Linked DNA regions of Elephas maximus indicus. The main gene of each other region encodes a partner of the protein of the gene in region 2 in a complex. Links are inferred from orthologs where the notes say so. Each region holds a gene or a part of one and is shown on either strand. Other genes may lie near its edges.

Region 1 (4,250 bases), on a different chromosome or scaffold from region 2:
AGTCATCGGTTGTAGCCGGGCACCATCTAGTTCTCCTGGTTTCAGGATGATGTAGTCGCTGGTTCATGTGGCCCTTTCCATCACCAGGATTTTTACGGGGCAGGCCAAGCAAGCTGTTTAAAGCATTTGAATTTTCTGAAGCCTGTGGACTTCTGCCTTATGTGTGTACACATTCACATATAAAACATCCCAGATTCAGTATGAGAAAATTGCATCCCTGCCTGGTCACCCTAGCTGGGAGGCAACAGAAGATTATTCCCCAGGGTCTCCTCCTGTCTGCTGGCGTCTGAGGCAGCTTCTCAAAACTGCAAAAGGTTGGGGTCTGCAGCCCATAGTTACAAGCAAGAATCAGAGTCGCTGCGCTCCGACCATCACCCCTAACATAGGAACATAAAATGGCGGCCGTGCTCCGAGGCCAAGCCACATACGGGTTCTGTGGCACGCCGGAACTACAACTCCCAGAATGCTCCCGGCCGAAGGCCGCCGGTCGCTGTGGCCCTAGGCTCTGTATTATTGCCCCCGCCCCCCAACCCTCCCAACCGTGGAAGGCCTACGGACACGTCTCCAGCCTTCCTCGCACTGGCCGATGGAACTCGCAGTTTTTCGGCCTCAAGGTTGAATCTCTCTGGGGCCTTAAGAAACTACACTTCCCAGTGGCATTTGGGCACAAGCGCACAAGGCCGTGGGGCATACTACGGTTCCCGGAGGGCCCTGCGACGCGCGCGATTGCGTGATGACGCGCTGAGCGAGTCGTGCTGACGTGCAGCGCGTGCAGCGCGGCCCAGGCGGGGTACCAGTGGCGCAGTTGGAGCCCGCTGCGGCCCGAGTAAGCGAGGAGACGTCAGCATCGGCTGAGGCGGGCAGACCAGCGAGGCGTGGCGGCGGCAGCGGCGGCTCCGGGCCTCAGGGGACTCGGGAGCTCGAGCAGCGGCAGCGGCGGGACCTCTCCCGATCAGAAAAGGCAGGCGGCGGCGGCGGCGGCGGCGGCGGCGGGTGAGAGGGTGAGGGAGCGCGTGAGCTGGGTGGGGGAGGGGCGGCCGCGGCGCGAGGCCAAAGCGCGCGGAGAACGGCCCAGGCCGCCTCGCGCACGCGCTCTCGGCACCCCCGGCTTGTGTGGACGTCTTAGCCTGCCTGCTTCCCCTCCCCCCTCCTGCGGCTCCTGTTGCGCGCGGGCTTCGACTCCCCGCTCTTCCCCCATGGTAACGGCGCGCGCCGCTGACCGCCCTCGTGCTCGCGCGCTCCGGTCGCGGCGGGCGCGCGCGCTCCTCGGTTCCTCGCCGCTGCCCGCGCGTGCGGCCCGGGAGGGCCTTGTCGGCGTTTCTGAGGTGCGGGTGGTTGGGTGGCGGAGGGCCTGACCCCAGGTCCTTGCCCCCGCCCCCGGTCTTTTTCCCCCGCTTTTCTCTCGGGTGGTAGGCTCCGCCGACCCCCCGGGAGGCCCGGGTTCATCCCACTCCTCCTAGACTGCGGGGCGCTGCGCCGCCCCCTCCCCCACCCCGGGAGGCCGAAAATAGGCCTCGGCGGCCCAGACGGCGCAGTAGGGCCTGGAAACAGTGCCTCATGAAGCACAGCGCGTGGACTGGGTACTATTTTCCATGGAGTATTTGGGGTGGGGGGCGTACTTTAGAAGAGCCCATGTATTCAGCTCAGATCTTAGATTTATAGAGTGCGCACCGCGTGGTCCTTTTTTCTCCACTTTTTTTTTTCCGTCACTTCTCCAAATTCGTGCTAAAGCGTGGGAGGCTGTCCAGTCCTTGGTTGTGGAGAAAACGCCGGAATCTGTTTGAGAGGTCTGGCGTTCTGCTTCAAGCACTGTTTGGTGCAACGTTTCTGAGTCTTTTTTTTACAGAGTCTCAGTTACTACTCACACATCTCTGTATTCTGGATCGAGAAATTTAAAAGTTTGTTCTGTGGTCTTTCCTTGTGTAATCGTGTTCTGTCGAGCCCACTCAGCCACTGTAATGCCCCAGCCCTGAGCGTGTTGTCCGTATCTTGCATTTTCTTGGGCATTCTGCCTCTCTTCTTGGTGCATTTTCTCTTCTTGAGTGCCTGTACTGAATTTTAGTTTTTTCCTCTGCCTCTTTTATTTGGCACCCCGATAATTTTCCCACAGAAAAAAATTCTCCTGTTTTTGCAGCTCGCTTTTACTTAGTGCCTGTACCTTGGGTACATTTTGCATATCCACAATTTATGGACCTAGTTATAAGAATCTGTGTTTTATAAAGTGGCGTGGTGGTTTGTATGTGTGTGGTTGATATTCCCCTTTGCATGGCTGCTTTCCTTTTAGTGTTTTGAGCGCTGCCTTGGATGCCATGGTATTGGGTTTTTCTTTTTTGGCTCCTCCCCTAAAAGTTCTGTAATTCGTTGTGCCGTAATACCCTTATCAACTTAGCAGCTGCTAGGGAGTGGGCGGATTTTTGTGTGAGGTGGTATGGAAGTGTGCCTGAATGGTTAACTGAAGAATTTCAGGTCAGAAGCATTCTCTAAGGGAGCAGCAGATTTTAGGCAGGCCATAGAGGAAAGAAGGACTTAGGTGTGGAGAGTGGGAAGGATTGGTATTTAAGAAAATAGAAATAAAGATTGGAAGGCAGAACATCTATTTTCTGTGCTGTAAAGGAAGTTTTTTTTGTTTAATCTTTTTGTGCATTTGCATTTGCTTTCCCTAGATAATGACCTCACCTGTTCCTCCTTTAACCTGGTATAGTTCCTTTTTTTCCTCCTTCATTCTTTTGGGTCTGCTGCTTGGGTTGAGTGGTCATTCTGGAATCTCCGTTCTTTTCAGCATCTTTCCTCCTTTTTTCTCTTACCACTTTAGTGCATTTTCTAGTTATTCATGTGATAATCCTTTGTTTTGAAGTTTAAGTGTAACTTTTTTTATCTGATTATTTCATTTGCTTTTCCTCACCTCTGCCTAATGTGTCTTCTTTGCCTGAGCCTTGGGTCTTTTCCTGTGATAGTTTGCCCTCACACATTTATGCTTTGTAAAACTGTCTTGGCGAGGATGGGCGAGAGAAAGGAACGAAGAGTGTAACATACAGCAGGAGACAGGAATATGTGTGGCTAAGAAATCTGAGTAGAAAAATGGGGGCCTGGCGCTCTTTAGGGTCATGCGTGGGGTGGGAGGCATAGGAGTAACAGGAGAAAGGGTAAGGTGAGGCTTATAAGAGAATAACCAGAAAGTGACATTTAGGGTATCGGTAGTGAAAGCCAAGGACGGGTTAGTATGACTGAAAGTGAAGTGTAGAGAATATTGGTGGGTTTAGGGCAAATAGGGTAGAGAAGCTGTGAGAGTAGTTTTAACAGTGACTAGTTTGATATATTTAAATAGAATTTGAATTGAAAACAGGTAGTATTTAATGGGAGCTAGAGTCGACTGGTTTTTTAGTAAGATTTGGAGAGAATTACCAATCAAATGAGAAATCTTATTGAGAAGGAAATTAAGGGAAGAAAATATCAATCAGGACAGTGGAGAGGAGCTATGAATATTTAGAATCAAGGAAGTGGCCTCTTATCTGGGAGGTGAAGTATTAGAGCATTATGTATCTAAAGTTCATGTGGTTTCTGATGTGCTTGCTGGCCTTCATTCTGAGTGAAAGGCTGTACAGGACGCTTGTTTCTCTTAACCAGTCAGGCCACTTGCTCAGATGAGTATGGGCCCTTTAGTCCATTTTGTATATGTACGGTGGCCTCAAAGCCTCAGGTTGTATCTTGGAAGAGACTTGGACTACAGGCCCTAGGATGCTACAGATCTGTGTCTGGTGTTGGTCATGCCCTATTTGGAGGCCTCAGTCAGTTACCAGAGGTTAGGAAGATGCTATTTGTGTGTATTGGAACCAAAGCAGGATGAAGGGACGACAGCGGAGAGATGTGAGAGAAGTACGATTCTTGTTGGTCTAGGGTGGAAAAAGACAAAAATGTAGGTGCAAGCAGGAATGATTCAGAATTCTGTGTAAGAACACTGGGGGAAAGCCTATGAGAGCTGGTCTGTGATTTGGTGGAATGTGAGCAGTGCGGGAAGGACGAAAAAGCGAGACCTGATTAGGAGACCAGAAGGACAATGAAGTACAGTGTGCAGCTAAAGGAGGCTAGTGCAGAGATAAATGTTGAAGGAGAGCAGAGACTTCGGTGGTGGTAAGTGGTTAGTTTGGGGCCAGGGCCTGACCCGTGTCTCCCCGCTCCCCCCCAGGAGCGGTGGTGCCCCCCGGGCACGGGGCCATGTACAACGGGATCGGGCTGCCGACGCCCCGGGGCAG
Region 2 (4,250 bases):
AAACCAGCCACTGGAAACCCTATGGAGTACGGTTCTACTCTGACACACAGGGAATTGGCCATGAGTTGGAATCGACTGATAATTGACCTGCTGAGGGTCAGGTGGCTACAAACAGAGTTGGGATGTGAACCCAGGTGAGGCAGCTCCTGAGTGCATGCTCACAACCACTGCTCTGGTGGGGCAACGAGAGGCAGCCAGCCCTTGGGGCTTCTGAGAAACCTTGTCTTTAGGGTTCTCAGATTGGAGGTAGGCTGCTCTCCAGGCCTGGACAGAACACCTCCCGAGACCTAGGCACTCACCTGTCGAAGGCCTTCACACGGCCCAGGAGCTTCTTGTTGTTGCGACAGTTGATGAGCACTTGGGTATTGTTTTTGACTGACTGCGTGAGCACGGAGAGGGGCCCAGTGTTAAACTCCTCCTCCTCTCGCTTCTGCAGCTCTTCCGGGGTCATCTCACTTTTGGGCTTGTTGAGGAGGCTCCTGGATGTCAAGCACGAGACATGTGAGTGAGAGGGGCTGGGGCCAGAGCACGGGGGAATCACAGCCTAACCTTCAGTGGCTCCCCCAGCCTGGCCTCAACACACCCACCCTCCTATAGCTCAGTCCTCTCTCTTAGCATCACCATTTGGATGCGTGCTATGGACTAAATTGTGTCCCTCCAAAATATGTGTTGGAATTATCACAGGAACTCAGCTGCTAACCAAAACGTCAGCAGTTCGAGTCCACCAGCCACTCACTGGAAACCCTGTGGGGCAGTTCTACTCTGTCCTGTGAGGTTGCTATGAGTCGGAATTGACTAACAGCAACAGGATTTTTTTCTTTTTTTAATATCTGGGGATGTGATCATGTTTGGGAATAGGATTTTCATTTTGATGTTAATGAGGCCCTATCCTAAATTTAATCGGTTCTGAGTGATAAAAATAGCCAATTAGACACATCACCAAGGAACTGAGGAACACAGGGGCTACAGATCATCCACCAAAGGACTTCTAGCCTCCTGAGCTATGAGAAAATAGATTTCTGTTTTTTAAAGCCAACCACTCGCGGTACTTGTGTTACTGCAGCATGACCTAACTAGAACGATGCCTAATAGGCATTCCTAACATTGCATGTCCCAGGCTGTGCAGCAACCACAGCTCCTCCATCTCTGTTGATGGCAACTCCATTCTTCTGGGCAAAAAACTCAAATGTCAACTTAGCTCCTCACTTCCTCTCCTAACCTACATTCCATCTGTTAGCAAATCCTGTCATCTGCCTCTAAAATACATGCAGAATCTGACCATTTCTTACCACGGTTACCACCCTGACATAAACCTCCAGCATCTCTCCCCTAGAATCTTACTGGTTTCCCTTCCTCAACCTCTGCTCCCTGGCAGTCTGTTCTTCACAGAGCAGCCCAACGGCTTGTGTTAAGACTAAGTCATTCTTCGAAATCCTTCCATGGTTCCCATCCCAGTGTAAACCTGATAAAAAAAAACCTGATGCCATCGAATCGGTTTCGACTCATAGTGACCCTACAGGACAGAGCAGAACTGCCACATCATTCTCCCTTGAAGTAGCTGAGAGCTTTGAACCACCGACTTTTTGGTTAGCAACGGCAGAGCGCGTAGCCACTGTCCTACTGGTGCTCCTTCATCTCAGTGTAAGAAGTAGAAATGCAGTTTTTGCAATGCCCTATATCTGCAACACCCCCATCCTGCTCCAGCCACAATGGCCTCCTGGGTGGTCTTTGAAGATATTAGGCAAGCTTTCAGTCTGGGGTCTCTGCATTTGCTTTTCCCCCTGCTTGGATCCCCCCCCAGATATCTGTGTGGTTTCCTGCCTCACTTTCCTCAAGTGTCATCTTCTCAATGTGGCCTTTTGTGCTAGTTATTAAGTTAGGCGTTCTTCATTTTTTTTAACCTGTTCTACTCTGAAACACATGAGACTGCCATGAATTGGGATCGACTTGATAGCCAACGGGTTTGGGTTTTTTTTTTTTATTGCTTCACCTAACACAACATATACTTTACTTGTTTACTATATTTATTGCCTGCCTTTCCCCTCATAAGCTGCACCCGGGAAGACATTTTTTCTGGGGGGAGGGAAGTTTCTATTTTTTTCACTGACACACTCCAGGTATGTAAAGCAGTGCCTGGTACGTAATGAGCACCCAATAGATATTCGGTGAGTAAAATCAGTCCCAGTGATCCAATATCCATAAAAGTCGCGAATCAGGCTGAAAAGCCGCATGTCTCTAGATCAAATCATCCAGCTAAGTCTCTCATCTCAAATCGTTACCCCTAAAAGGCCGCACTCGCCTCCTCCAAGTTCCTTAATCGTAGAACCACTTCCTCTTAGTATTTATTTCAACAAGACTAATTACCTGGGAAAGGTCCCAGCCCGTTATCTGATAAAGCAGTCCCCTCTCCCGAACTCATCTGTAAAAGGCCCCGTTCCCGTTCTCACATCCATCAAAAGTCCTCCATAAAATTTCTGCTTTTGCCCCCGACTCGTTATCAGGAAAGGGCCCTCTCACCCCCTTCCAACCGTTAATCGGCCAAATTTACACCCTCAACCCCACTCCCGCCGCCTAGTACGGGCCCGGCCTCACATGGTGCCGGCTGCGTTCTCAGGACACTCCTGTCTCCCCCGCGTTGCTTCTGCCTCTGAAAGGAGAGGCGGGACTTCCGCTTCCTGCGGCCCACTTCCGTCAGCGCCTGCGCAAACTCAAGCAGCGGATGGGGCGTGGCCTGTTGCTATAGCGATCCCCGCTAGCTGTGCTTAGTGATGGGATAAAAGCCTTGCTCAGAGGTTCGAGACCACTCAGAACCATTCGGGGCAAATCTTCACAACGATGAAGGGAAAAACAAAGGTGGTCTGACTCGAACCATTTCGCCGTATAACGGGATAGGCTAAAGGAAGGCAGCGAAACAGCGTTTCCAAATACCCGCCGGTCCGGCCTTCGGGGGCGCGGCCTCCGCAAAACCAATCCGCTCCTGGCTGCAAGGGTGGGTCCCGCCCCTTTTTCCTCAGGGACGGTTCATTTTCGCGTCCATCAATTTCTTCGACTCAGCACAACCAATCCGTTGCCTACATCCGGAAGGGGCGCGGACCTGCACCGGAGAGATCGAAAGTTTTCCAAGATTGAACCCTTGCCATTGGTTTCCCCTCCTCTGCCGAGGCGGAGCCTAGCCCTTTCGGTCTCCCTTTTGGGCTGTGCAACGCTCCGGGGAGCCAATTCTGCCAAGGGAGACGGGGAGGCGTGTCCTCGGACCGAGAGTTCCCATTGGTTCCTCTGCTCGCCAGGGTGGGATAATACCGTCGCTGTGGTTGCTCATTGGTCCTCCTACTGCATGGGGGGCTGGTCTTGGCTGGGCCTGAACTGGCGGCTCCGCGGTCCAGGACCGGGTTGCCTGGCAAAGCTGCCATGCGTTCCGGGAGCCGTGGGCGGCCCCGGCTACGGCTCGGGGAGCGCTTCTTGGAGCCCCCCTCACCGCCCAGGCGCCGCCTACTACCGCGGGCGCGGCTGTTGCCCCTGCTGCTGCTGGCGTTGGCCGTGGGCTCAGCGTTCTACATCATCTGGAGCTGCTGGGACCACAGCACCGGGGAGCTGCCGCTGGGCCAAGAGCTGCGGGTGAGGCCAGGCGCGGGGCCCGGGCTCCTCGGGGGCCCTTATTCCCCGCCGACCCTTCTCCAGGGTCTCGGGTTGACTGACGTGGCCTTATGGTGTGGCCCTAACCGCAGGTGCCACGGTCTTCGTCTTTCGAGCGCATGCACCTTTCCATCGGAATAAGGTTCCGGGTTTGTTTTGTCATTCTGGCTCCCCCTTAAGTGGAAGGGCCTGGAGTGGTAAGACTGAGCGTTGGGCGACTGAGCTCTAATCCTAAATCAGCTGCCTGGAAGATAACCTTCCTCTCCCTGGCCCTTGATTTCCCCATCAGGATTGGGGTGGGCTGGACCAGATGGACATCAAGGGACTTTTTTCCTGGGGCTAGGATTTATCCTAGAAGCCCCTGATGCTTATGAAGAGGTACCAGGCTCCTAGGGGGAAGCGGCGCCTGGGGTAGGGTCGGAGTGGGAATTGCTCTCATGTTCTGCACTTCTCTACCCTTCCCCCTACCAAGGCCCCGGTGATCGGAAGCCTCTCTGAAGCTCGGCTTCGGAGGGTGGTCGGGCAACTGGATCCGCAGCGTCTCTGGGACGCTTATCTGCGTCCCTTGTTGGTGGTGCGGACCCCCGGCAGTCCCGGCAATCTTCAAGTCCGAAAGG
Region 3 (4,250 bases), on a different chromosome or scaffold from region 2:
CTATCCCCCTTCCTGTAAATAAAGGCCCTTCTGTCCACTCTGCCTGCCTTGGGCTTTGGGGTAGGAATCTTGGCAATAGGCCCCAAGGGTTACTGCCAGTTCACCAGGGGATTATTTATACTCTGGGGATCAGCAGGCAGGGAGGTTCAGGTTACCAGGGGAAGGTGGGGGAGCTCCCTCCCTTGGTGTTCCCTATAACTCTGCCAGTGCCTTTGGTCTATTCTACTTTCATAGGGTACCTAGCCTCAGCTCTGTTTCGAGATGTGGCTGGGTCCCCCCCAAGGGCCTACCCAGAGCCTTCATGCCATCTGAAGGGGGAAAGGACTTTCAGTGGAGGTGGGGAAGGAAGTAGACAACATGAAGGGCAAAGACCTGCTTCTGACAGACTTATTAATAGGGCACTGAGCTGCATGCAGCTGACGCTTGGCATGACGTTGGTAGAAGGTGGGGAGGGGTTAGAATTATGGGGTGCTGTGTACCTTGTAAGGAAGGAGTGTCTAACCTGAGAACGAACAGATTTCATATCCTGAGATGGGACAATGAACCAGACTTGAGGAAAGTTAGGCTCCCAGCACCTGTTGTAGTTTATTTGTGAACTGAATGGGGAAAGAGGGTATCAGTCCAAGGGGAGATCAGGGGGTTCCTCCTCATCAGAGTCAAACTCAACATTTTCATCTTTCACCCATCGACCCTGTCCATCTGGGATCCATCCAGAGCTGGAAACATCAGAGTAAACAGAACTGGTCAGAATGAGGATAGGAGGTTTATTAAGAAGTTAGTAGGGATGAGAAAAAAACTCAGTAGGTTTGAAAAAAAGGCCAGAGAGAAAAGAGCAAATGCGAGGGAAGTGATTCGGCATACTTACCTTCGAAGAGTGAGGTAACGATCCAGGGCTTGTCTTCTCGTGGGGCTCATGGGTACAGGGGCTGGGACAGTTGCTGATTTCTTGGCCTGTGGACCTGTTTCAGGCTCAGATTCCCTGCTGATCTTCCGACTTTGGAGTTCAGCCTCTGCAGGTGGCAAACGGGAATGGACGACGGAGGGACCAGGGGCTTCTGGTCTGGGTGGAGAAGGATTGAAGTCTGTAAAAGTGGTAAAGGAAAGGGCCAGCTCTCCTGTGACTCCCAACCCCTTAATGCAGCGTTTTCTAAACCATGTTCCTCAAGCTATTAATGAGAATTGTGCATAAAAAGGATTTTGAAGTCAAATGAATTTGGGAAAGCCTAGGTTAAACAAAATTTTTAAAGGTTTTTTTTTTAATTTCAAGACTTTGTAGAGCCCTTAAATATGCTAATATCACTATGCTTAAAGTAGAATTACAAAGCGCCATATCCCAAACTTTATTTGAAATCACGAAAAAATTTTTTTTTCCTGGAATACCAATTAGCATCTTCAGAACATAGTATTCCTCAGGATACGATTGGGAAGACAATAATTTTAGAGCCATCTATCTCCCACTGTCCCTCCCTACTGATTCCCATACTAGTAGTTCTTTTCCACCCACTGTCTCCATCTTTTTATGTCCCTAACCAATGTGAAAGACCTTTCACTGTTATTCCCCTATTCTTAATTCCTCCTAATACAGCAACGTGCCGTGAGGAAAGAATAGCCTTCTAAACAAATGGTGCTGGGACAACTGGGTAATCCTCATGTAAAAGAATGAAGTTGGACACCCCCCGCCACCTCATACTGTGTACAAAAATTAACTCAAGATGGATCAGGGACAAATTTAAGAGCTAATACAGTAATGCTATCCTTTCCCTATTTCCCATGCTCAAGTCATATTTTTCTCTGGCTTTCCCATCCCACAGACCTGTACTTCCGGCGGCAGCAACTGTTATAGTGGGGAGCTCTGTGTAGAGCACTCTGAGTGATAAATCGAGTCTGGGCCAGCAGAGGAGCCTGGTATGGGGATAGGGGAAAAGAATCAGAGCCATGAGAGCTAGAGAGAAGCCAAAGCCCTTCAAGCCTGGGGTGTGCAGCAGGGTCTTGTCTGGGACACACCTTTCCCGCTCTGATTACCTCAGCTTTGTTCTCCTCCCTCAGTTCATTCTGCTGTCTTGGATTCTGCTCCATTCCCTTTCCTGGCTGCTTCTTGCCATAAAAACGCTGCAAGCCTGAGGAGTAGGGGGGAGGGAATTAAAAGCAAAGCGCTAAGACTGGTCTGCAGAGGTTTCAAGGGTTTACACTCTATCCCATGCACTCTTTTAAACTTACTGGACAGATGTTTCTTCCCTGCACGATGGGCAGTCAGCATGGCCAGGGTGTCCAATACAGGCCGGTGAGGGCAGATGGCACAAGCAAAGCTGAGGAGGGGTAAAGAAGACAGTTGGTACAGGGGTAGGAGTGGGAGGTCTGCTGTAGGTTCCATCCTGTCCTAGTAGTCCTTTCCAAAGCCCTACTCCCAGTTCTAACCTCCACCGCCCACATCCCTGTCTCTTCCAGTCTCTCACTCTCTGCCAAAGAATTTTAGATACTCCAGAACTCCCCCATAATAACAAAAGCTTATTGAGCCTCCAACCGCAGAACTCTCAGGCTTGAATCCTTCCTCGCCCTCACCGTCCATCCCGTAGCATCAGCGCCTCATCCTCTGGGATATAACTGGCCAGCAAGTCCCCGACTCTTCGTTTCTGGAGGGAGTAAGGGAACAAATCCGAACGGAATAAGCGGGACAGGAGGCAGAGATGGAAGGGAAAAATGATAGAGACGAGGCATCAAAGGGAATAAGGTCCATTGGAAACAAGCGATCATAGGGCGAAGAAGAGGTCTAGGAGCCTGACTCCCTCTCGCCCCTCATCCCTCCGAGCTGTTTCCAGAGCAACGAAACAAAGCTCTTTCAGAGTTTTCAGAGGGTGGCTGAAGCTGCTCCAGACCCTCTACTTTCGCGCTTACTTTGAGTACATTGAGTTGACTCCAATCGTCTCCTTCTCTCTTGAAAGACATCGCGACTGTCAGCCTCAGAAGCAACAAATTCGCGGTACCAAATTTTTCACTCCCTTCAGGCCACCGTAGCGGTAGAGGGGTGTCTCCTCGCCCTCTGCCTGTCTTTTCCGGTTGGCCTCGTTACTTCCGGGGTGTGCTTCCCCGCATGCATTGCGCGATTCTGAAAACACTGTTCTTGCGCAAAGGGGACTGCTTTTCCTATGGTGCCCTGCGACCCCGCCGGCGCGAAGCCTCTTGGGAAATGAAGTCTTTTCTCAAAGAACTTGTCGCCCGGCTGGAAGCAGGCCCTTGAATCTCGGCAGATTCGAAGCATTTGAAGAGACAAGAACCTATATGTGGAGCTGATGCTTGAACCCGAATTTAAGACCGATCTGATGCGGAGTAGGTCCTTAAGGATCGATGAGTGGATAGTGGACTACAAACTCTCCAACCACCCGCTCTTCATCTGCGACGTCAGCTCACCTAGGGTGGGCCCGGCTCGTTCCAGACCCTAGGGGATCAACCCCGGGACGGGGCGGAGCTGGGGCGAAGGGGGGTCGGGAGCCCGGGCTGCCCGGCTGTGGAGCAAACTGAGGAAAGGGTGTTGAGGAAGGTACCTAGAGTTCCAAGGTCAAAGGTCAGTGTAGCGAGGAGTTGTGGGGTTCCAAAGGGAGACTTTGGTAGAGACTGAATACCCAGGGGACCAGATTTGTGGAAAAGGGACTTGGAGGGAGAAAAAGCGAGGGCAGATAATATCTGTCTAGAATATCCTAGGTCCCTAGGGGAGGGAGGGGAGGAGTGACGGGGGCGGGTGGAGGTTCGGGGAGTGAAGAGGAGCTGAGGTCGGGGCGGGGGGAAGGGAAGATTTAGGAGAGAAGGGGAAGGATCTCCCTGGATATCCATTCCCAGACGCCGGCCCGTCACTGTCCATCACTTAGCCGGTCCTCCCTCAGTCGCAACCGGAGCTGTCAGCAGGGTGAGGAGATGGCTTCTCCCTCTAGACAGCCCCCCCTCGGGGGATCAGGACTGCTTCAAGGGAGCCGGGCTCGTTCTTATGGAAGCCTGGTGCAGTCCGTCTGCTCCCCAGTGAGGGAAAGACGCCTGGAGCATAAACTGGAACCTGGAGACACTCTGGCTGGACTAGCACTCAAATACGGGGTGACGGTGAGTCTTCCAAGACTAGGGTGCTGACAACCAGTTAGGAGAGAATGTCCTGAATGCAGTGACCCCTCTAAGTAACTTTTCCAGGATTTTTCCTAATTGGGGCTGTGTCTGTTCTGGCTTTAATCTGTTTGTTTGTTTTCCCTTGTCAGTGTTGCTCTCTCTGG

Evidence for each region.
Region 1: SNRPD2 (region 2) and SRRM2 share a complex: the UniProt entries of both Homo sapiens proteins name them as parts of the minor spliceosome. The link is inferred for Elephas maximus indicus from reciprocal best matches to the Homo sapiens genes SNRPD2 and SRRM2.
Region 3: SNRPD2 (region 2) and SCNM1 share a complex: the UniProt entries of both Homo sapiens proteins name them as parts of the minor spliceosome. The link is inferred for Elephas maximus indicus from reciprocal best matches to the Homo sapiens genes SNRPD2 and SCNM1.

Annotation. Positions count from the first base shown.
Region 1 is NC_064830.1:59,942,776-59,947,025, reverse strand, and holds the start of SRRM2 (serine/arginine repetitive matrix protein 2), read left to right. Parts: upstream 1-878; 5' UTR 879-961; intron 962-4,183; 5' UTR 4,184-4,212; coding exon 4,213-4,250. UniProt on the Homo sapiens protein: Required for pre-mRNA splicing as component of the spliceosome. As a component of the minor spliceosome, involved in the splicing of U12-type introns in pre-mRNAs.
Region 2 is NC_064829.1:103,950,126-103,954,375, reverse strand, and holds the start of SNRPD2 (small nuclear ribonucleoprotein Sm D2), read right to left. Parts: upstream 2,677-4,250; 5' UTR 2,595-2,676; coding exon 2,593-2,594; intron 480-2,592; coding exon 300-479; intron 1-299. Other genes in the region: QPCTL (glutaminyl-peptide cyclotransferase-like protein), read left to right, coding at 3,409-3,615, 4,106-4,249. UniProt on the Homo sapiens protein: Plays a role in pre-mRNA splicing as a core component of the spliceosomal U1, U2, U4 and U5 small nuclear ribonucleoproteins (snRNPs), the building blocks of the spliceosome.
Region 3 is NC_064821.1:185,197,769-185,202,018, reverse strand, and holds SCNM1 (sodium channel modifier 1), read right to left. Parts: upstream 3,081-4,250; 5' UTR 2,944-3,080; coding exon 2,893-2,943; intron 2,631-2,892; coding exon 2,560-2,630; intron 2,307-2,559; coding exon 2,218-2,306; intron 2,118-2,217; coding exon 2,023-2,117; intron 1,903-2,022; coding exon 1,814-1,902; intron 1,061-1,813; coding exon 866-1,060; intron 717-865; coding exon 617-716; 3' UTR 20-616; downstream 1-19. Other genes in the region: LYSMD1 (lysM and putative peptidoglycan-binding domain-containing protein 1), read left to right, coding at 3,907-4,086. UniProt on the Homo sapiens protein: As a component of the minor spliceosome, involved in the splicing of U12-type introns in pre-mRNAs. Plays a role in the regulation of primary cilia length and Hedgehog signaling.